Struthio camelus: one gene and its partners. The protein of the gene in region 1 purifies or fractionates together with the protein of each later gene. This does not show direct contact. Links are inferred from orthologs where the notes say so. Each region holds a gene or a part of one and is shown in the gene's direction. Other genes may lie near its edges.

Evidence for each region. The genes of interacting proteins can lie anywhere in the genome.
Region 2: the proteins of CHD4 (region 1) and SIN3A purify together in Homo sapiens (affinity purification with mass spectrometry; 3 studies listed by BioGRID, with this or other methods). This does not show direct contact. The link is inferred for Struthio camelus from reciprocal best matches to the Homo sapiens genes CHD4 and SIN3A.
Region 3: the proteins of CHD4 (region 1) and CBX1 purify together in Homo sapiens (affinity purification with mass spectrometry; 7 studies listed by BioGRID and IntAct, with this or other methods). This does not show direct contact. The link is inferred for Struthio camelus from reciprocal best matches to the Homo sapiens genes CHD4 and CBX1.

What each region holds. Positions count from the first base shown.
Region 1 is NC_090942.1:90,895,266-90,903,454, forward strand, and holds the start of CHD4 (chromodomain-helicase-DNA-binding protein 4), read left to right. Parts: upstream 1-4,958; 5' UTR 4,959-5,227; intron 5,228-6,117; 5' UTR 6,118-6,201; intron 6,202-7,278; 5' UTR 7,279-7,340; coding exon 7,341-7,437; intron 7,438-8,189. UniProt on the Homo sapiens protein: ATP-dependent chromatin-remodeling factor that binds and distorts nucleosomal DNA. Acts as a component of the histone deacetylase NuRD complex which participates in the remodeling of chromatin.
Region 2 is NC_090953.1:23,130,784-23,137,916, forward strand, and holds the start of SIN3A (paired amphipathic helix protein Sin3a), read left to right. Parts: upstream 1-3,980; 5' UTR 3,981-3,995; coding exon 3,996-4,170; intron 4,171-7,133. UniProt on the Homo sapiens protein: Acts as a transcriptional repressor. Corepressor for REST. Interacts with MXI1 to repress MYC responsive genes and antagonize MYC oncogenic activities. Also interacts with MXD1-MAX heterodimers to repress transcription by tethering SIN3A to DNA.
Region 3 is NC_090966.1:5,724,295-5,731,499, forward strand, and holds the start of CBX1 (chromobox protein homolog 1), read left to right. Parts: upstream 1-4,052; 5' UTR 4,053-4,247; intron 4,248-7,205. UniProt on the Homo sapiens protein: Component of heterochromatin. Recognizes and binds histone H3 tails methylated at 'Lys-9', leading to epigenetic repression. Interaction with lamin B receptor (LBR) can contribute to the association of the heterochromatin with the inner nuclear membrane.

The sequences.
Region 1 (8,189 bases):
TTAGACCAGTAGGCCATTACTGCAGTCTTTCTGAGACCACACTTGCTTCTTCTGTGACTGGATTCACCTGTTTGCTTCATGATGAGGGTAATAGGGCATACGTCTAGGGCATTTTAGGGAAATGGTGACTTAAAAATGGTAATTACTAAGCAACCTTAACTTTGTGGATTGCTTCCAGCTTTGATTAGTCATTGTATACAAAAATCCATGTTAAAAAACTGGTAATGTTGCAAAGTCAAAATGTTGCCAATGCAAAATAACATTCCTTCCTCTGTCTTACTCAGTGCCTCCAACTCCAGAAAAACAAAGGAACATGGGAAATTCAAATCTGAATGTCTGAAGTTTGCCAAAATTCTGAGCAACCGAAAACAGACTTGTGATGGAAAATATCAAGCAACCTTAGCTAGAGGTTTCAGTACCAAGTATATTTGTAATATGTTTTTAGCATGAGCAATCAAAGTAGCAAAACATATAGAGACAGAGATCAACACTTCATTTTTAGAGGGGGCTGACTAAAAGAACAATCCCCCGTCTTCTGTATCTTCCCAGTTCCCCGCTACTAGGAGAGCTTCATGCAATAGGAGAGCTTTGGCTCACACAGTGTGGTTCTGGCTGCACAACTGTGCCATTCACCCTGCCCCCTTCTCCTCCCGGCAAAATAGCAGAATCTGGCCCAATATTCCATGACCAGCGCAGAGCAAAGTGTTTATGGCACATCAGATGCAGAGTCACGCTGGTATAAGAGCAGTTCTTACCTAGGTGGTTGTTAGAGTGACCAGATCCTCTGCTGAAACTAGTATGTTAGTCTCAAAAAAAGAAATATACATGGTCTGTTCAGTGGTTCTTGATCCCATTCTGATTGTATACTACCCAATTTTCCTTGTTTCCCTGCAAGTTTTTGTTTGCCATTTGTTCCAGGGGCATCTGCTCTCTATAGGAGCACCTACTTGGACATGACAGAAGTGGCTCATATCTCTTCTCCACAAGAAAAGGAGACCATTTCTGTATCATTTGCTTCCATGTCTGACACGAAAGCGAAGACACTTCCAGTGTGGTAAACAATGCATCTTTGTGAAAAGGAGAGGAGGGTAATGAAGAAGACAACAGTGAAAAAGGGTCTTTTAAACTGCCTTAGCTTGCCATGAGGACTTTTCAGAAATCTGGAAGTGGGGAAGAGCAAATTTTGAAAGTATCTGGGATAAAGTGCTCTGCAGCTTCGCGGTATTGGGGAATCCTTGAAAAATTCAGGCCATTTGTTTTGACTAGTGTTGAAGACAAAGTATTCTCACAAAAGTTAGTTAGACACTATAAAAATGTAGGATTGAAGAGACAGGCTCAGGGATAAGAACTGAATGCTGAGTGAAAGTTCGGACCAATTTCCTTCTAATTTTAAAGTAAAAGTTATATATCTGGGAATTTGATACCCTTCTTCCCTAAAATGATCTACAGCAAGATTCTCTGCATTACCAAAGAAAAATGAAAGGCAAGACTTGTCAGAAATCCTAGGATCTTCAAGGCTACTTGGCAGAAGCTGCTAGACCTCAACTCAGAATAATGGCAAGCGTCGGTATGATAGGGAGAGCTCGCATGATTGCTGAACAGGAGAATGCTCTGCAAGCAATGATGAGTCCATTCACTTTAGCTACAAATGGTCAAAACTGGGTTAGAGGAAGAGATGAAATGTACCTACAGAGTGTGAGGAACAGTATCACATTTATGGATACATCAGATGATGCCAATTGTACACAGATGCTGAAAGATATTTGCATGTTACTAGTTATATTTAACCTGACAAAGAAAATGGTTATTATAGTCAGGCTAGAGCAGCCTCAGCCAGAAGAACGGCAAAAATGAAGAAGAGTAAAACAGAAGTACATCTGTATCCCAGGACTCAAATGAAGCAATACACAGGCAGCATCACAACCTCCAGCATCTAAAACCATTAATACCTCTGCTTTGGTACTGAACACAAAAGGAGCTAACAGAAAAATAAGCTGGGACACCATAAACTTGACCTCTAAGATCACATTGTCTGCACCGCCAGCAAGTCATGGATATTATCCATTATCTGTGCCTTATGCCTTACGTAGTTAACATTAGCCCGTAAAGTCTGCTTTCTTTCTAAAGTGCTTTAATGTCCCTTCTCCCGCATTCTTGACTCCCACATTCAGCAACACTGAAATATTCTAGATGAGGGATTCCTAGCCTCCACTGGTGCCTGAGTAACACCACTGAACTAAGTACTGCATGGAAACAATGTCACACTTTGCTCTTCTGGTTACCTTGAAGAAACAGGTCTCTATGGAAAGTGAAAGTGAAGACAGACAGTGAGCTATGGTAAAAGTCCGGGGTCAGTAGCCAGGGCTAGTGGTAGCAGATGCATGGCTGAAAGTGCCAGAGGCAGAGTAGGCTATCTGCAATATGGAGGAAGATGGAGCAGGGCTCGCTCCTGGATCCCCAGACTGGGACATGAGCCTTCAATGAGGCCCCTTAGGCCAGGAATAAGGATCATGCATGAAACTACAGAAATAGTTTAAATAGAGGCCACACCACCATGTTACCATGGGGATATACAGCCCACTTTATCCAACTATCCTTAGATGGGTGTACAGAGGTGTATGGAGAATGCTTTGGTTGATTAGGATTTCCCTAACATAGGCACAGCATCAAAGTGGGGGAATACTGCAGGGATGTCTCCCCCCTCCCCCCCCCCCCCCAAAATGTGCTATGTTTTTCAGAGAGCTAACACAGATCAGGAAGTATGGAAGATTATATTGTAGAGATGGTGCTGTGATTTTTTTCCAAGCTAAGTGCTATAAACTCAGAAGATTCGGTTAAACTTGCTAAGTAATCAAGAAACAGTGAGGTAGGGCAACTTTGCAGTTTAAAGCAGCCAAACAGCTGGAACTCTGTCTTGTAGTGTTATGATCAATGCAAAACATTTAGAAGTCTCCCCTCGCCTTTTTTTAATCCATGTAATGTACTTGATTCTCACAAACACTAAAAACACCTCAATCATAATTTGTATTTAGCATGGAATTTTTACAGTGAAAATTAAGGTTTCTGCTGACTGATAAACTTTGAGTTACGAAGAAAAAATGAGTTGGAAGTGAGGTGGGAAAGGCATAGTATTAACGATAAAAATATGTTCAAGTGTGGTGTATAGAAAGATTTCAGCAAAGTAGCGGCTAATTGGGAAGCTTGGCACTTCTGTAGCTGAGATGCTATACGTGTTGCATAACTGGTAGTAAACAGCCCTCTCAAGATTGCAACCCTACCAGCAAGAGTGTTACAGAGTATGCACAGAGATAGCTCTAGTAACTCCCTTTATGGTGTCTTTGCCTGTGTAGTGCCTTTTAATATGCGATCAAACCACTAGGAGCGAGATTTTAAGAGGTGTACTTAGAATTCTGTAGTAACTATTTAGGGCTGGCCTGCTTAGCATGGGAATTTGGCATGGCTGTCCACATAGCTGCTATTAGAGAGGATTATGGCTGTCTGTGCAAAAGAGGTAATGAAAAGTCCTATGGGGGTCTGTGTGAGTTTGGCAGTACCGAGTGGATAGCATTATCATACGTACACAGAACATACTGTTATGCCATATCCATATGGAGGATAGATAGTATCTGTAGTATAGTAACACATAGCTCTTTCATACCACTTTTCCACTGTAGATCTGAAATAAATGATAGTGTCAGTGCAATTCAAGTAAAGGTATAGTATAGGTATGTACTGCATGTGTGTGTAACACGTGGTTGGAAGGGTGGTGGGATTTTCTATACATGTAAGAAGGTAAATAGTGCAATAGTATTTTGGAGTATACAGCCTAGTTTTTGCTAATAATGGAGGAAGGATGTGCAGAGGAGGGGTGGGTCGTACTATGGAATGCCTGCATATTTAGACAGCATTACAGGACTGTATTGAAATACGCATTGTTGAAGGGCATAGGAACGAAATGGTTGAGCTTGACAGTATTTCAGCACAAAGGTGCTTATCGTGAGGAGGAGGGCAGTCTGGTGGCTGTGCATGTGTGTAGTGAAGTATTTGCTAACATTATGGAAAATCCAGGCACACAGCAGAAGCAAATGGATAGTGTTACGGAATATCTATGTATACAGTGTACGTAGGGACATATTTTTGGTATGGTTTGCATGACAAAGTATAGATTGTATTACAGGATGGATGTTAGCAGTAAGGCCGCCGCTAATATATTGGGAATCTGTGTCTTACAGCAGCGGGCCAGTGCCACTGTGCGCAATGGGCATGTGTACCAAAAGAAGTGGGATGGCAGCGTAGAATGTTTTTATCTAAAGAGGGATGAGTATAATCTTTGACACCTGTGTATTTATTGGGTGAGACGGACAGTAGGGTGCATCTGCCTTTATTGAGATTAATAGTGTTAATAAAGATGCTAAATTGGGGATAGGTAATATTATGGCATGTGATTTTGTGTAATGAAAAATTAATGATATTGTTGCATGTGCATAATTGGGGTGTATTTATTTTTATGGACTATTCATGTCAATATAACGTGATGATTAGTTTGCTGGTGGAGGGCACTAGCAGGGAGCGGTGTGTTGCTCTATAAAACGGCTATGTCTCGAGCAGGAGGGAGGAACAGCACATATTGGAGGTTTTCTCTGTATCCCTGGGGTAGGAATAGTTTTAAAGGTACCGGCGTTTATGACAGGCGGATGCATTGTGTGTGTGGTCAGGAGGTGACAGGAGTCACTGTGGGATTGACACACAAGCTGCTGATGGTGGCTGGTGATTGCGCTGTAGAGCGCCGTGGACTACTGGTGGGTACCGCGAAGGGGCCCGCAGCGCTGTTGGGTGCACGCGACAGAGCGGAGAGTGCCAGCGTGCTATGGGGCACCGTGGGCCCGATTCTGGCAGGTGCGTGAAGGAGGAGGTGGAAACGCGATACAAACGCCATACGTGGCTCTCTCGGGATGCCTGCCTCTGCCTATGGAGAGAAGGGATGACCAGGCACCCAGGGGTGCGCGTGGGAAGGACCTCCTGGGTGCTGCAGAGCCGGGCGCCGGACAGGCAGAGGGAGCAGCGCTGCACCAGGGCAGGCGCGCAGCGAGCTCGGTGGGGCGCTCAGTAGTCCACTATCAAGGGTCGGGCGAGAAGCGTGAGCGTGGCGGCCACGGTTCCCGCGGACGGCGACGCCTGGCTTCGGCTCCCGCCCAGCACCAGCGAAGCCTGCCCTCCACGCTCAGGGGTGAGCGGGGCGGTGGGCGCAGGGGGCCCGCCGGGGCAGTGGCAGCCGGCACCAGGGTCCTGTTGCTGCCCCGGCGGCTGCCTCCGAGGGGGAGGGTGGTGCCCGCCGTGGGGCCTGTGGAGCCCGTGTGGCCGGGAGGCACGCAGGGGCCGGGCGGCGGTGCCAGAGCGCTACAGTGGCGCGGCTGGCCGGGCGCCCCGGGGCCGTTAGGGGCCGCGCGGAGGGGACGGGGCCCCGCGGCGGGAAAGGCCCCCGAGGGCGGCGGCGGCGGGCGGGGCGGGGCGGGGGCCGCGGGTGGGCTGGGGGCGGCGGCGGCGCGGTGGGGAGGGTGGCTGGGAGTATTATGGGATGTCTGGCTGGACGGTGGCTCCCGGCGACTATTATGGGATGCCTGCCTGAGCGCGGGGGGGTGGGGTGGGGGTGTGACTATTATGGGATGTGCGCCTGGGGTATGACTATTATGGGATGTGCTGGGGGTTATTGCAGTGTGCGGGAGGCGGGGGGGGGGCCGACCAGGGGACGTGCCTATTATGGGATGGCAGGCCGGGCAGCGGGGGCGCGGGGTGAGGGGGGCGCGCGCGGGGGGCTGGTAGGGGACGAGTATTATGGGATGCCTGAGTGAAGGGGTTAGAGTGTGGGGAGTATTATGGGATGTTTCTCGGAGGGACGGTTGTATTATGGGATGTTCCTGCTGGGAGGGGTTATTATTATGGGATGCCGGGCCGGGCAGTGAGTGGGAAGTTCTGAGGGGAGGGCGAGTATTATGGGATGTCTCAGTTGGGGGGGTTGCCAGGGAGACGGGGGCGGGGCCCGTTGCTGGGGTCCCGGGGCATATTATGGGATGGAGGCGGGAGTGGGGCGGGGCCTGGCTGGGTTTTTTCCCCTTTAAGAGGCGGTGCCGGGGCCGGAGCCATTTTCCCTTCAGCAGCGGCGGCGGCGGCGAGCGAGCGAGCAGAGCTGGGGTCTTGAGCCGGGTGAGGAGCTGGGAGGGGGCGGGTAGAGCTTTCCGCCGCTGCTTGGGGTGTCTCTGGCTGCGGGCGCCCCTACGCGCCGTGGGCCGCCAGACGCAGCTCCCTCGGGGCTGCGCTGTCCTCCTGCTCGGGCGACCGCAGGACCGCGGCGACACAGCACCGGCGAGCAGCCGCCCCGCCGGTGCCCGCTGCCCCGGCCGCTGCCAGCCGCTCGGCTCCCGGCCCGGCGCCCGTCCCTGGGGAGAAGCGGCCCCTCGCCGCATGCGAGCCGGACTTCCCCGGCCCCGCCCCGCGCCCCCGCCCGGGCGACCGTGCCCCGCCGCGACGCTGCCCCCCCTCCCCCCCCCCCCCGCCCGCCTGCCACCCCCGCCCTGCGCCGCGCAGCCCCGCTCCGGGCGGGGGCGCGGGAGCGGCGGGCAGCGGAGCGGGGCTGCCGGCGCCGCCGAGCCGGTCCTGCCTTTTGTGCGCGCCCGCGGCGCGCGATCGCCCCGGTGGCAGCGGGCTGCAGGGACCCGAGGAGGAGGGGGAGGCTGCTGCTCGCCTGCCTCTCCGGCCGTGGTGGCTGCAGCCCGGGGCTGGCGCGCCAAGTTTGTGCAGGCGAGTTGGGGACTCCCGGCAGCACTTGTTCCGCCGCTGTCCGCCGTACCGGTCCCGGGCTCAGCCCCGACCGCCGCGGTGGCTGTGTGGCTCGCTGACAGCGCCCTGATTCAAGGTCTCCTTTGGAAAATCCGCCTCCCCTTCTTGCCTCTCCTTCTCCCAGTCCAAAGTAGAAATAACCTAGGGCGCACGCATTCTGGTCTGGCCCCTGATTGCAGGGGAAAGGAAAATTTCCCATAGGCTAGCTGTTTTGGCTTCCTTGCAAGGGATGAGTCGCTGACTCAGTTTACTATCTAGTGTCTTCAGAGTCTACTTCATCACAACTTTAAGCTGATACCTGCTGCCAGTGTTTCTATTATCTGTAGGCTCCAAATCCAGTAAAGCTGCCGTCCAAGCTTTCTCACAGATCTCCTTGTTAGCACTATTGCTTGGGAAACAGGAGTTCAGGTGCACTATAACTTTCTCCTTTCCTTTTCAATAAAGTACTGGCTTGACTGGCAGGAAGACACCTTGTATGAGCCTGGGCCTCCACCAGTTTGGAGGACATGGCATCGGGCATTGGATCTCCATCCCCGTGCTCAGGGGGCAGTGATGATGATGACATGGAGATTCTGTTGAACAACGCTATCTCCCAGCATCAAGGTACAGAGCCTACGGGGCATGAGTGTGTGAACTGGGGAGATGCTATTTTCATGCTGAATATGTGAGAGAGATGAAGATGATGTGCAAGGCAATGTTGTACTTTGCTAGGAGTCATGCATGTGCTTTTTTTTTTTTTTTTCAGTATGTGAGTCCTAGCTAGGATTAGCTCAAAATGAGGCTCACAGCTTTTAGTCAGGTGGAGCTGACTTTGTTCCAAGCCATTGCAGGTTGTCAGGGGCCTGTGCTTTGAGGAGGTATAAGGGGGTGGAGGCAGAGGGGTGGATTCTGACAGGGCACTGAAATGCCTGCAAGTTTCATGTTTCATGAATGGGGAGGGGGAAGAGGGGCAGTATGTGAAAGGGCAGGGTGTCTGACTTTCTTTCATCTGGGAACTCAGACCTGCTGACGTCCAGAGCAAACTGCCCTGGGCTGTTGTGTGACCCACTTTCTTCACCACACCCAATTATTGAGATTTCTTGTGGCTCTTGGTCTGTGCTGCTTGCTCACCTTTGCTTTTCTTTGAGTTTTTGTACCTAGCTTTTTCCCTGGTGCTTGCATCCTCGTCATCAGCATAGAGGCTTGAGTTAGAGCTCTGGGTACCTTTCTTTTTTTGATATTGTTGCTGCCTTGCTCTGGACTTGTACTTGGATTCTGTAATTTGTTATAGAAAGAAGTAGTATATACCTGGGGAGTAAGACAGGTCTGAGTTTTCCTATTAAGACCTCCTGTACTGTTGTAGTATTATATTAGGA
Region 2 (7,133 bases), on another chromosome or scaffold:
GGAGTGCCTCCTTTCGTTTTAAACGAAACGAGCCAAAGGATGAAACCCAAAGCGCTGGTCAAGGCTGAAAACGGGACTTAAAGGCAGCGCAGGGAAGCCCCAAAGCGACGATGCGGTCCCCGCGCCCACCTGTCTTACTTGGCTTGCTCGTTTTCTTGGCTGCCTGCAAACCCGCTTGCTATCTGCGGTTCATTTGCCCGGGATGGCAAGCGCCGAGTTTGGAAACAGCCCGACTTTGGAGCGCTTAATTTCTCAACTCGTTGCTAGCCTCAGACTTGACCCTAAAAAGCCGAGCAGCCCGTGTCGACCCACCCTGCGATTCACGTACCCTCCTTATCCCCCGGCCGGAGACCTTTCAACCAGCTTAACTAAATCGCAGCTCCGAGCGGGAGGCGGGAGTCCCTCACCGCCTCGTCCGAGTCCTCGGCTAGCGCGGCGGCTCTCCGGATGGCGGGACGGCCCGGCCCCTCCGACAGCCCGGGCTCTCTGGCAGCTCGAGTTGGGGCTGAGAAGGGGAAAGGCAGTGTTTTGGTGAGCACCTGGAGAGGAGAGAAGAAGAAGGGGGGAAAAAAAACCGCAAGAGGTTTGACCTTGTTTTCCTGTTTGTGTTGAATGAAGACGCTCGCGATCACGTTCACAGCAGAAACTCGGATCTGGTCGATCCCAACGTGTTTCTGCGGCGGCCGGGGGCGCGCGGGCCCGAGGGCTCTCGGGGCCTGGATTTCGGGCGTGCTGGGGACGGCCGGGGGGGGGAGAGGGGTGCGGGCAGGACTCCGGGGCCGCGACGCCTCCGTCTCGGCAGCGCGGGGAGAGGAAGGGGGCCGGGGACGGTGCTGAGGGGAACGAGCCGGTGCCCTTTCTAAACCCCCCGGGTGGGGGGTGTCCAGTTTAGCTAACTTTGGGGGCAGCGAGGCCTGCGGGGGGGGGGTCCGCGACACGCTGCCTTGCCAGGCCTCGAGAAACGCGGCTTGGGGCGGGCGGCGGCGCCGCCCCGCTGCCCTCGGCCCGGGGGCGGAGGGGCCGCGGCCTGCCGCGCTCCGCGGCCGGGGGCGGGCGCTGGGCGCTGGGCGGCGCCGCCCGCCCGCGGCCCGGGGAGGGCCCGCCGTGACGAGCCGCAGCGCCGGGCCAATCGGCCCCGGGGGGAGTTCCCGTCCATTCAGGACGGCTCGCCTGCGCGCTGAGGGTATGTAACAGCTGCTTTCAATTTAGTCCCCCAAATATCGGGTTTTTCTTCCCCCCCCGGGGGGAGGCGGGAGGGGGGGGGCAGCGGTGCGGCGGCGGCGGTGCGCCGCGGCGGGGGCCGGGGCGGGCGGCGAGGCGCCAGGAAGGGGGCGAGGGGGGCGGCGCGGCTCCCCCCCCTCCCTCCCTCCCTCCCTCCCTCCACCGCCGCCGCCGCCGGGCGGGACGCGGCTGCCCCCGGCGGGCTGCGCCGCGGGAAAACTTGTTGGGCGCGAAGGGAGCGGGCGGGCCCGCGCCCCAACGGCCGCCCCAACGGCCGCGCCAACGGCCGCGCCGCCTCGCGCCGGGCAGCGGCGCCCAGCTGATCCCCCCCCCCGCTCACCACCGGCCCGGCCTCGCCCCCCCCCCCCGGCCTCCTCCCACGATCCCGCGGCCCCACGCTGCTCCCGGAGCAGTTGGAGGGAGGGAGCGTGGCCGCGGCCCCGGTGAAGGGGTGAGGGGGGGGTGGCGGAGGCCGCGGCCCGGGGCAGCCCGCCGCCGAGCGTGCGGCGCCTCCGCCCCCATTCCCCCCACCCCCCCCCCGCGCGGCGCGCGCGGCCATGAGCGCCCCGGCCCCGCCCCTCGCCCCCATTGGCTGTCCCTCTCGGCCACGCCCCCGGCGGGCCCGGCGGCGCGCAGGTCCCCCTCCCCCGCCCCCATAGGGACAAGCTCCTGGGTGACGGCGGCGGGGGAGGGGAGGAGGGCACCTCTCCTTGCGGCCGATTGGCGGGCGCCGAGGCGGCGGCCACGCCCCCCCCGCGCGCGGCCCTGCCCGGAGAGGCCGGGCGGGCGTGCGTGCGTGTGTGTGTCCGTCCCTCCTCCCCCCCCCACGTGTAATCGATCCGCCCCACGTGGGGCGCTGCCATCCCGGAAGTGAAGCGGCCCGGCGCGCGTGGGGAGGGGTTTGGGGACAAAAGGCAGCGCCGCCCCGCCCCGCCTGGGGGGCCCCCCCCTCCCCCGCCCCGCGGGCCGCGGCGGCGGCGCTCCGGTGCCGTGGGCGCTTCCCAGCGGCTCGGCAGCGGGCCGCGGCGGGCGGAGCCGCGGGGAGGGGGCGGGCGCAGGCTTCGCGTGGCCCGGGGACTTCCCCCGCTCCGCGCCCGGTCTCGTTGTTTAACCCCGGCGTTGGCGCGCGGACAAGGCCGCGGGGGTGGGGGGGGGCGGAGGAGATCGGCGGCGCGGGCCGGCCGCGGGGCAGCGGGCCGCCGCTCCGCCGGCGCCTGCCACTTGTTGCCGCCCCGGCGGGGTTGGGGACGGGGTGCGGGGGGGGATGCGGGAGCACGTGCGGGCGGGGGGGGGGGGGGGACCGCGCCGTGCCGCTCCCCTCCCCCCGCCCGCGCAGCCGCCGCCGATGTAAACATTCCACAAAAGGGCTCCCCAGAGGGGGGCGGGGCCACCGCCGCCGGGGGCGGGGCCGCCGCCGCCGGGGGCGGGGAGGGCGCCCCGCCGTCACGGGCGCGCTCCCCGCGCGCTGGTTGGCCGGCGGCCGGCGGCGGCCGCCAATCGGGCGCCTGCGGAGGCGGGCGGGGGGCGTGGCCTGCTGCTTATACGGACATTTTTCTTCAGCGTTCGCTCCCCCTTCCCCTCCCCTCTCGCCGTCCTCCTCCCTCCCTTCCTCTCCACATCCCCTTCCTGGGGGCCGCGGCCAATAGGGGCGGGCGAGGGGGGCGGGCGCGAGGCGGCGGTTGGCCGCGGCGCCGACGGACGGGCGGCGCGCCCAATAGGCGGGCGGGGGTCCCCCCCCTGCGCGGGGAGGGGCGGGATTTCCCGGGGAACAGAGAAGCGGGCAGCGCTCCGCGGCGGCCGCCGAGAGACGGTTACTCCATCTTACCCCCCCCCCGCCTCCCCTCCCCCCTCCCCCGCCGCGGCCGGCGCCCGCCTCCCTCCGCCGCGCGCGGGGCCCGGCGCCGCCTCCGCCCGGCGCGGCCCGCCGGCCGCCGCCCCCGCCGGCAGCAGGAGGGGCGCGGGGACCCCCCTCGCAGGGCCGGGCAGAGCCCGCCGGGCGCAGGGGCCCCGCGGCCGCCCAACGGGGCCCCCGCCCCCTACCCCCTGGGGGAGCCTCCGGCCGGTGCCAGGGGCCGCTTCGAGGTAAGGGGCGGGCGGGGGGGGGTGACAGAGGCGGCGGGGGGCGGGGGCGGGCCGGTGCCGGCCCCCTCCGGCGATCCGTAGGGGGCGGGGACTGGCGCCGGTGCCGCGCGCGGGAGGAGGAGGAGGAGGAGGAAGGCGGGGGGGGGGGGCCGGTGCCCGCCGCGCGCCTCCCCGGGGAGCTCCGCGCCGCACGGCGGGCGCGCCCCGCCCCGCCCCGCCTCGGCCCGGCCCGGTCCGGCCCGCCTGGCGCGGGGGGTGTCCCGGCCTGCGGCGCGGCGGGGCGGGGGGGGTGGGGGGTGTCCGCGGGCGGCCCGCCCCCACCGGGAGCTCCCGCCTCCCTTTCCGGCGCGCTGCCCTCCCGGTAGCGGCCGCCTCGCCCCGAGGCGCCGCCCCCGGAACACCCCGCGCTCCCGCCGGTACCGGCCGCCTCGCGCGCAGGCTCCGCCCCCCCCCCCGCTCCGCCCCACCCGCCGCCGCCCGCGCGGGGCCTCCAGGCCCTTCCCGGGGCCGCCGGCTCCGGCCGCCGCCGGCCCCGCGCCGCCCGCCCCTGCCAACTTTCCCGAAAACTTGCCGCTGGGAGACGTTTTGGGTTCGTTTCTTAACAAGAAACGCGCTGCCGGGCTGACTTCGCGCCTCGCTCTCTTGCCCCCGTTTCTCCGCTCTTGCCTCCCCCCCGACACGTCATCGCGTACATGCAGCCGAGCTGGTTGCCCGCGTTAAGTTGCCCCGGTGCCCGCTCTGCAGCAGCACGCAGAGCTATTCCGGGTTCCCGAATGGCTTTTGAAAGAGCCTCGTGGAATAACGGCTGCGTCTTTAGTTACCCACGCTGCCGCTTTGCAGGAGGATCCGTTCCCGCGTGCTGTACAGGTACAGGGGAATCTGAGAGCTTCACTTCTCTTGGCTCTCTTTTAAGCATTAATTTTTAAACGTTTTAATAGCAAGCTGGCATCCTTTTTTGCGTGTCCTTTCTGCGCAGTATTCCGCCTTAAACTCGTCAGAGACTTGCATTTAGCGTTTCCGCTCCCGTTACTAATTCTTCAGACTGTTGCACATCAATAGAAACTGCATGAGGGTTTTTCCTAAGGTTGTAGATAACTGACCACGGGGCTCGTACAACTTTAAAAACGTGAGCGCGCTTTGTCTTTACTTTGCTAATTGATATCTTTTCTGGGTTTTGCTGGCCCAAATTCAGAATGAGTTTTTATAGTCTTATTTGTGAAAATAACACCTGTATCCATTGCAATGAATGGAGAGGGTACCTACCTCACGTACTGTCTATCGAAGAGGAAAAACATGTATTTGGACTGCTGAAAGGATACCGAGCTGAAAAATCCTTTCTTTAAAATCGCACTGGAGCAAGCGACCACAAGTGTCTCTAAAAACCCGTGCCTTTCTCATCACCTGCGTTTTTCTGAGGAATCGGAACCTGGCTTCTGCTGTAGAATGTAGTTTAATGATGACTTAACAAATTACATTTGTTTTCTAGCTTGTCACTTTTATATCTGTCAGTTGCACTAAGAGGACAGTAATCAAGTGCAAAATGCCCAACCGGATTTTAGTGCAGGTTTATCTATATTTCACTCTTGCAGTCCTAACTTGATATTTGTTAAACACAGTTTCTAGTAAACATGTATTATTTTAAAATATTGTACTGTTAATGCGATATAATAAATTGATGCTTTATGTCAAAATACTAATTTTAAAGCACCTTTAACATCCCTTCATCACTGGCTAGTGCTGCAGGAGCTGAAGTCCAATTTAGGATCTTTGTATGAATGAAGTTAGAAGTTTTGCAGTCGGGTGCACTCTTCCTGTAAAAGGAGGCTGTGCTTTCTTGCCCAAAGGTGTTTCCGCTTTGTCCCCTCCTACCATCCCTCCCTGTCAAGATACGGCTTTGAAAGGCTTCCGACAGATGCATTTAGCCAGTTTTAGATAAAATCAGGGCTGCGGCAGGGAAGGGAAAGTGAGGTGTATGGTTAGAGAAGCGTTGTGTCTCCCCAGGATGGTTACTGCGCTCCACTTTGCGTGGGGAGGGTACGTCGAAACTTTCACTATGCCTAGTAAAGAGGAAAACTTAGTGTGAAAGTAGTCATCTCTGTATTATTTAGTAGTATAGGATTGGTGTCTTAAATAAAAAAAAATGGTGGGCAACAAGGTAATCATAGTGCTCTAGTGTGAACGTGTTTGAACAGCTTAAAAATGATAGTTCACCCAGTGAAAAGACACCGAGTAGCTAAGCTGCGGGGCACAAAACTGATGAGGAAATTCGGGGCGATTCAGACTGCTCGGCAACTGGGTGGGAAGGGTGATGACTTAGAGGCTCTCTTTCACCCTGGATCATCAGGCGCCGCCGATGCGTCTCTGTGGTTCCTTTGCTCGGCGCTGTGATTCGTTGCGGCGCGAACGAGGCCGAGGAAGGAGCCCTCCGTGCAGGGCTTCTGGGACGTGTAGGTCTCGCAGTGAGGAACATCGCGTTGAAATTGGCAGGCAAATCATTTACGTTTCCAGGATTTATGAATCGTTTTCTGTCCAGATTGCCGTTCTGGTCTTCTCCAGCATTGGAAAGCTTTTATAGTTGTTCAAGCTGGAACAGAAAATACAGTCCTGTAATAGCTGTCATTTTATCCTGTTAGACTGGAGGTGTGCTTTTGGTATCGTGCTGCTTTCTTCCAATTGCTATGGGATCTCTTTTTTAATGAATAAATAAAAATATTCTGGTTTTCTGTGTGTGCATGGGGAAACTGTGCTCAGGGAACTCGGCAAAATGATACTGAACTTTGCATTTAATGTAAAGCCTGGTTTGGATTGTCTCTTTGCGGTGGTCGCAGTGAAACGCAAAGTTGAGGCTCCTTGCCGCTTTGGCGTAGCGCGCGTCAGTGCCTCGCCACCTTGTTTACCCATCTGGATGGAGACGAGGGGGGTTTACTCGTGCCGCATCTGCCTCGCGCCCGGTGCTGGCACGTCACCCGCAGGGTGTCGTCACGTCACCCTGCAGAAAACTCTCCCAACTGTTAGGAGAGTTTGGCGTAACGCTCGTCTTGTCTCGTTTTGCGACGCCTGGGACTCGCCAGCCGGGAACGTGCCTGTCTGCGCGATACCCCTCCGCAGCAGGGCCGGGAGGTTATCCCCGTATTGCAGGTGAGGGAGCTGAGACCTGGGCGGATAATGGCCAGGGCTGTGTAGCGCTGTGCAAAAATATCAGAGCTATCGCTGAGCAAGCTAGGTCATGTTCTGGAAGTAGCACGGCTGCGGGAGCTGCGCAGACAGCAGCGCTGCGCTATCCGGCTGCCAGAACCTGAGCTAGCGCCTTTTTTAAGCGGCACTGCGATATACCGCGTAGACGCGCTGCAGGGGGCTTGCCCGTGGCCGCACAGGAAGCCCGTGACAGGCGAGGACGGCGTTTAAGTTACGTGTTCAGCTTCCCGAGCCGTAGTCCAGGCTTACGCTTGCTGCTTCTGAGTTTTGGGTCCTTTCTCTCTGTAAAGGAAACTAATCGGTCTCCCTCCGCATGTTTCAGTACAGTCATTACTGTTTAAAAAGCAGAATAGAAGTGTCAGCGTTGCGCATGTCACAAGTTTTGTGTTCAGGTGTCTTTAAGCATTTTCGAACAGCAGGTGATTTGTGAAAGTGTGTCTGATACGAGTGGTTTCTCTTACTCCCTTAGACTTAGTGGCATGAGAGGGCTGTTCCTTAGTGCTTCCTAGAGCAAACAGGGGTGCTTGTGGTGCACTGCAGCCCCATAAGGGCTTTTCTCAAAGCCCACGTGCATGTTAAACACTTCACCTGCAACTGGGCAGTTTGCTTCCCCCCCCCCCCCCCCCGACGTGTGT
Region 3 (7,205 bases), on another chromosome or scaffold:
CCAGCTGCCACCACAGTAAGTCTCCCATTAGCACCAGATACTGATAGGCTGTTTCTCTTCAACTCTCACAATTCACCTGAATAAGCAACACATTCAGTGCAGTTTCCCCATGCAGTTAGATTGTGTGTCTGCATTGTGACCACTCTCACTTGCGCTCCTCCTTCACCCCCTACTCTTCTCCCAGCAGGAAAGGGGGGAGCCAGGCAGCACTTGCAAAGCCCACAGAGACCTGTGAACCTGCCCAGCGAACCCCTGGGCTGTCGGCTACGAAGCTTTCCTGGCTCAGCTATGTTGCGAGCTGTTTGCACGTTCCCATCGCACAAACCACTTCCTTTGCCACATCCCTCTGGTATTCCTGGGTCCTGTGGGATGGTGTCAGCCAATTTGCTGCTCCATTACACACTCCTGCAGTAATTCCTGTTCTGCAACCATACCACGAGCAGAGTGCCAGTGCTCTGGGGATGGGGGACAGCCAGATAACCCCCCGCCACCAGTAAATGCATCACAGTCCAGCCAGTGAAACCCCTCCGAGACAGCGTGCATCCTCCTGGACACCACACAGACCAGGGCTGCTCATCAGGGGGAGCTGGAAGACCAAGTGCGTTCAGTGTCCTGGTTTCACCTACTCTGGCTGGGTTGTTTGCAACATGTTTTGGAGCCCCTGGGATGAACCGGCAGCTCAGGACTTTGCCTGTCACAGCCCAGGCTCCCGAGGGACACGGCTGCCTCGTCACTGAGGCAAAGCAACCCTTCACCTGTTCCGGGTTCCTGGAGTCTTGCCTTTTAGGCCATGAGAGCTGCCAAGTGCCAGGCAGCACTGGAAACACAGCCTTTATTTATATGCTCAGATGTGAAGCAAAGCCCTTCTGAAGACGGAGCTAATTTTAGCTGGGACAAGGGGAGGGGTGAGCCACAAACCACCTTTTAAAAAAAAATCTGGCTCCACCGGTTTGTAGGTCCTTTCTGAAAGACCTCAGCCGTCCAATTCATGCTGGAAAGCACAGAAAGCGTTAATAAAGAGCAGAGAAGAGTTTCGGGAGACAGCAAGAGACCATTTCAGGATAGACAGCAAGCAGCTTCTGGATATCTCCAAGTAATTGAACTCTTGCTGGAGCTCGGTCAGGCTGCTGCTGTTTCCAATTTGAGCTGCAAGGAGGAGGGCAAGGGGAACCTACCCAAAACACAACACTTCACTGCACATGATTCTTCCCCCAGGGAAGGAGGGGAGAGAAGGAGCCAAATGTGACATTAGTCACTTTGCTGAGTGCAGTAACAGGGGGCGGGGGGGGGGAGCTCAGCTCCTCCCCCGTGCTGGGGGCTCCCATCCAGAACCAGCTCAGCAGCACAACTTGACCATTATGTTCCTCGGCCTCCCCAGAGATGCTGCCTCGGTCCTGTTGCTTTCAGAGCTCCTTGCTCTGTGTAACAGCCCTGCTTAGATTAAAAATGCAGGAGGAGGCAGGGGGGGGAAAGAGAGAGACTCACAAATTGCCTAATGGAATAGCAGAGAGCTGCCAGGAAGAGAAATTTAATTTCCCAGCTGCTGAAAGGGTGCTCCGAAGAGCAGAGACCCAGGAGGGGGAGACGGCTCTCCGCTAGTCAGCAAAGAGGCAGGCAGGCTGAGGGAGAACAGAGATGGGTTAATCAGAGAGCAGCAGCGCTCACCGACCCTGGCAGCCTGGGGAGGCGAGACCAGCCGCGGATCAGGTGCCTCGGGCAGAGCTAGGACGACTAGGTTGCAGCAGGACACTGGAATTCAGCTTGAGGGCCTGGTACAGCACAAAGGCTTAGTTATTTGTTTAAAGATAACCTGGGAAGTAGTGCTCACGTCTTGTACCATCTTTTACTGGTACTTTCATTCAGCAGTGTATCAGGAAACGCATAATCTCATTTAAGCTTTATTTAGAGCTAATTATCTTAAACTTGATAAATCAACTTAAACCAAATGGAGAAGGCAGCTTTGAATTAGCTTTAAACAGTGATGCCAAATCCTCTTTTTAGAGCTTTTGCTTAAAGCCTCAGTTTAAGGGGCCTTGGGATACATGGTTTGGTTTAATCTTCCTCTAATTTGCATTTTAGTGTTTTCAGGGCTCACACTTCCAGTGTCTTCTGGCTGGAAGGACAAGAGGCTTGGAAGCCAAACTTAAACCCCATCATCTGCGCTCTTGGAGCCTCATAACTTTTAACCTGATTTCAAGACAGCTTGTGACTCCAGAGTGATGTGGTTAGCAGCGCTGAGGAAGGGTTTCTGCACTGTCCTTCTGCAGGCAGATCAAGTCTGTGCTTAACCCATTAAAAAGTCAGTCAGCACAGCCCAGGATGTGACACAGACCTTGTTTTTAACAGAACGGAGAAGTGGTCCAACTCCACGCTGCCAAGTCAGCCCCATACACGCACTTCTTACAGATAAAGCGTTTGTTTTTCTCTTTTACTCGTTATCTTTTATCTGCCTGGCTGACTCAGACACATCCTTAGCAGTCTGTCACCCTCCTTACCAGCGGGACCTGCATTGAATGCTCTTTCCTACCAGCGCACATCGATGACCACATAGTCCAGCTCCTGACACGCAGCTCTGCATCCCTTCTGGGACCGCAGGAGACCCTCCCTCCGCCAGAGCCGCTCCCTGCACGACTCCAGGCCAGCCCGCCAGTGGCCCAAGGTTTCACTTCCATCCTTAGCAGGTACAGCAGGACCCCAGGCCCCAGGTGACTTCTACTTTAGCTTTGAGTTTTGAGGAAAGCTTCACAGAAGAGTTCCACAGAAAGGGGGAAAAACCAAATAGGAACAAGTCCAACTTGTTTCTGCTTTTACTTGTCACACCCAGAGTAATGAACTGGGTTTCCATTCAGAAAACAGACCTCAGAGAGATTTTCTGAAATTATTTGTTTTCCTTTCCAGTGGGGAACGGGTTCCGCATTCAAACAGACCCCAAAGAAGGATTTCCCCAGTTCATCACTTCCAAACGGAACCAGACTTCTCCAAACAGCCAACTGCCATACCTGCGCCTATACAAGGGCCAGTTTAACCACGCTATCGTCACTGTATTCATGTGGCAGAGACGCAGCAGAGCTGCTGCCGAGCTCGGCGGGGCCATCAGCGCAAGCGGGGCCTGGCTGTCACCCACTGCGCCGGGGCCAGCGCTCTGTCCGCTCCGAGCCCCTCGGAGCGGCGTCAGAGTCATTATTTTCCACATTTTACACGTGGAGGAGACGGTTCTGCAGCAACGCAGTTACCTCCATGCCCTGGGCTCAGCGCAGCTCCCCCGGCAGGAGGAGCCTTGGCAGGTAATGTCAGTCCCTGCCCCACGGCAGCCACATCCAGTGCCAACCCCAGGACAGCACCAGGGCTGGCAGGGTAAGGCCCCCCCCCCAAGCACCACCCTGCCCCAGAGCCACCCAGGGGGCTGGCAGGGCAAGGCCCCCCCCCCGCACCATCCTGCCCCAGTGCCACCCCAGGGGGCTGGCAGGGCAAGGCCCCCCCCCCAGCATCACTCTGCCCTAGTGCCACCTCCAGGCCCACTCCCACACCCCGGCGCCCGGCCCCAGCACAGCCCCAGGGGACAGCCACGGCGCCCCTCTGCCATCGGGCAGGCCTAGGGCCGCCGCCGCCCCCCAGCCCAGGGGATCCGTCCCAGCCCGGACACCCCGCCGGTGTCAGCGCGCACCCCCCACCCCTCGGGGGCCCCTCACCTCCTCCTGCCAGAAGCGGCCCCTTTAAGCAGGCGCGGCAGCGCGGCGGCCTTATAGCCAGGGCGGCGCGCTTCCCCTTCCGGCGCGGCGCGGGGCACTCTGGGAGCTGTAGTCCGCGCCGCGGGGCGGGGGTGTAGGGCTCCTTGCGTGCTGCGCGGGGGTCGCGGGCGGGCGGCTTGCGCCCCGGTGTTTCTCTGGCATCTATGCGGGGCGGGACAGAGGCCGGGCGGAAGAGGCAGGCCGTTCGGGGCGGAGAGGCTGCGGCACAGCGGGCCCGACTACAGCTCCCATGGCGCCCCGCGGCGGGCGGGACTACATCTCCCATGGCGCCCCGCGGCGGGGGCGGGCGTAGGACTACAGCTCCCATGATGCCAGGCGGGCGGCGCGGCGCAGGCGCGGCGCGGGCGGCGGGTACTGGGGCTGGCTGGGCTCTTTTGTTTGACGGAGGCGGACGGAGAAGCCGCCAGGCCCGCGGCGCCCACCCGACGTGCCCTGCCCGCCCGCCGCCGCGCCCAGCAGGCCCCTTCCCCTCGGGTACCGTTGGCGGGGCTGTGCAAGGTGAGCGGGGCCGGGGGCGGGCGGGGGGCGCCTGGGGGGGGGGGGCGCGGAGGAGGCCCCGGCGGGGGGGGGGGCGGGCTGGGGGATTGGGGGGGTGGAGGGGGCGTTTGGGGTGGTAAGAGAAGGGGGTGAGGGGGAGGGGGCGTTTGGGGTGGTAAGAGAAGGGGGTGAGGGGAGGGGGCGTTTGGGGTGGTAAGAGAAGGGGGTGAGGGGAGGGGGCGTTTGGGGTGGTAAGAGAAGGGGATGAGGGGAGGGGGCGTTTGGGGCGCCAGGAGAAGGAGGGTCGAGGGGAGGGGGTGTTAGGGGCGCCAGGAGAAGGAGGGTCGAGGGGAGGGGGTGTTAGGGGCGCCAGGAGAAGGAGGGTCGAGGGGAGGGGGCGTTAGGGGCGCCAGGAGGAGGGGGCTCGAGGGGAGGGGGTGTTAGGGGCGCCAGGAGGAGGGGGCTCGAGGGGAAGGGGCGTTTGGGGTGGTAAGAGAAGGAGGGTCGAGGGGAGGGGGCGTTAGGGGCGCCAGGAGAAGGGGGCTCGAGGGGAGGGGGTGTTTGGGGTGGTAAGAGAAGGAGGGTCGAGGGGAGGGGGCGTTAGGGGCGCCAGGAGGAGGGGGCTCGAGGGGAGGGGGTGTTAGGGGCGCCAGGAGGAGGGGGCTCGAGGGGAGGGGGCGTTAGGGGCGCCAGGAGGAGGGGGCTGGAGGGGAGGGGGCGTTAGGGGCGCCAGGAGAAGGAGGGTCGAGGGGAGGGGGCGTTAGGGGCGCCAGGAGGAGGAGGGTCGAGGGGAGGGGGCGTTAGGGGCGCCAGGAGGAGGGGGCTCGAGGGGAGGGGGCGTTAGGGGCGCCAGGAGAAGGAGGGTCGAGGGGAGGGGGCGTTAGGGGCGCCAGGAGAAGGAGGGTCGAGGGGAGGGGGCGTTAGGGGCGCCAGGAGGAGGGGGCTGGAGGGGAGGGGGCGTTAGGGGCACCAGGAGAAGGAGGGTCGAGGGGAGAGGGCGTTAGGGGCACCAGGAGAAGGAGGGTCGAGGGGAGGGGGCGTTAGGGGCGCCAGGAGGAGGGGGCTGGAGGGGAGGGGGCGTTAGGGGCGCCAGGAGAAGGGGGCTCGAGGGAAGGGGGCGTTAGGGGCGCCAGGAGGAGGGGGCTCGAGGGGAGGGGGCGTTTGGGGTGGTAAGAGAAGGAGGGTCGAGGGGAGGGGGCGTTAGGGGCGCCAGGAGGAGGGGGCTCGAGGGGAGGGGGTGTTTGGGGTGGTGAGAGAAGGAGGGTCGAGGGGAGGGGGCGTTAGGGGCGCCAGGAGGAGGGGGCTCGAGGGGAGGGGGCGTTAGGGGCGCCAGGAGGAGGGGGCTCGAGGGGAGGGGGCGTTAGGGGCGCCAGGAGAAGGAGGGTCGAGGGGAGGGGGCGTTAGGGGCGCCAGGAGGAGGAGGGTCGAGGGGAGGGGGCGTTAGGGGCGCCAGGAGGAGGGGGCTCGAGGGGAGGGGGCGTTAGGGGCGCCAGGAGAAGGAGGGTCGAGGGGAGGGGGCGTTAGGGGCGCCAGGAGGAGGGGGCTCGAGGGGAGGGGGCGTTAGGGGCGCCAGGAGGAGGGGGCTCGAGGGGAGGGGGCGTTAGGGGCGCCAGGAGGAGGGGGCTCGAGGGGAGGGGGCGTTAGGGGCGCCAGGAGGAGGGGGCTGGAGGGGAGGGGGCGTTAGGGGCGCCAGGAGGAGGGGGCTCGAGGGGAGGGGGCGTTAGGGGCGCCAGGAGGAGGGGGCTCGAGGGGAGGGGGCGTTAGGGGCGCCAGGAGGAGGGGGCTCGAGGGGAGAGGGCGTTAGGGGCGCCAGGAGAAGGAGGGTCGAGGGGAGGGGGCGTTAGGGGCGCCAGGAGGAGGGGGCTCGAGGGGAGGGGGCGTTAGGGGCGCCAGGAGGAGGGGGCTCGAGGGGAGAGGGCGTTAGGGGCGCCAGGAGGGGGCTCGAGGGGAGGGGGCGTTAGGGGCGCCAGGAGGAGGAGGGTCGAGGGGAGGGGGCGTTAGGGGCGCCAGGAGGAGGGGGCTCGAGGGGAGGGGGCGTTAGGGGCGCCAGGAGGAGGGGGCTCGAGGGGAGGGGGCGTTAGGGGCGCCAGGAGGAGGGGGCTGGAGGGGAGGGGGCGTTAGGGGCGCCAGGAGGAGGGGGCTGGAGGGGAGGGGGCGTTAGGGGCGCCAGGAGTAGGGGGCTCGAGGGGAGGGGGCGTTAGGGGCGCCAGGAGGAGGGGGCTCGAGGGGAGGGGGCGTTAGGGGCGCCAGGAGGAGGGGGCTCGAGGGGAGGGGGCGTTAGGGGCGCCAGGAGGGGGCTCGAGGGGAGGGGGCGTTTGGGGCGCCAGGAGAAGGGGGCTCGAGGGGAGGGGGCGTTAGGGGCGCCAGGAGGAGGGGGCTCGAGGGGAGGGGGCGTTAGGGGCGCCAGGAGGAGGGGGCTCGAGGGGAGGGGGCGTTAGGGGCGCCAGGAGGAGGGGGCTCGAGGGGAGGGGGCGTTAGGGGCGCCAGGAGAAGGGGGCTCGAGGGGAGGGGGTGTTAGGGGCGCCAGGAGGAGGGGGCTCGAGGGGAGAGGGCGTTTGGGGTGGTAAGAGAAGGAGGGTCGAGGGGAGGGGGCGTTAGGGGCGCCAGGAGAAGGGGGCTCGAGGGGAGGGGGTGTTTGGGGTGGTGAGAGAAGGAGGGTCGAGGGGAGGGGGCGTTAGGGGCGCCAGGAGGAGGGGGCTGGAGGGGAGGGGGCGTTAGGGGCGCCAGGAGAAGGGGGCTCGAGGGAAGGGGGCGTTAGGGGCGCCAGGAGGAGGGGGCTCGAGGGGAGGGGGCGTTTGGGGTGGTAAGAGAAGGAGGGTCGAGGGGAGGGGGCGTTAGGGGCGCCAGGAGGAGGGGGCTCGAGGGGAGGGGGTGTTTGGGGTGGTAAGAGAAGGAGGGTCGAGGGGAGGGGGCGTTAGGGGCGCCAGGAGGAGGGGGCTGGAGGGGAGGGGGCGTTAGGGGCGCCAGGAGGAGGGGGCT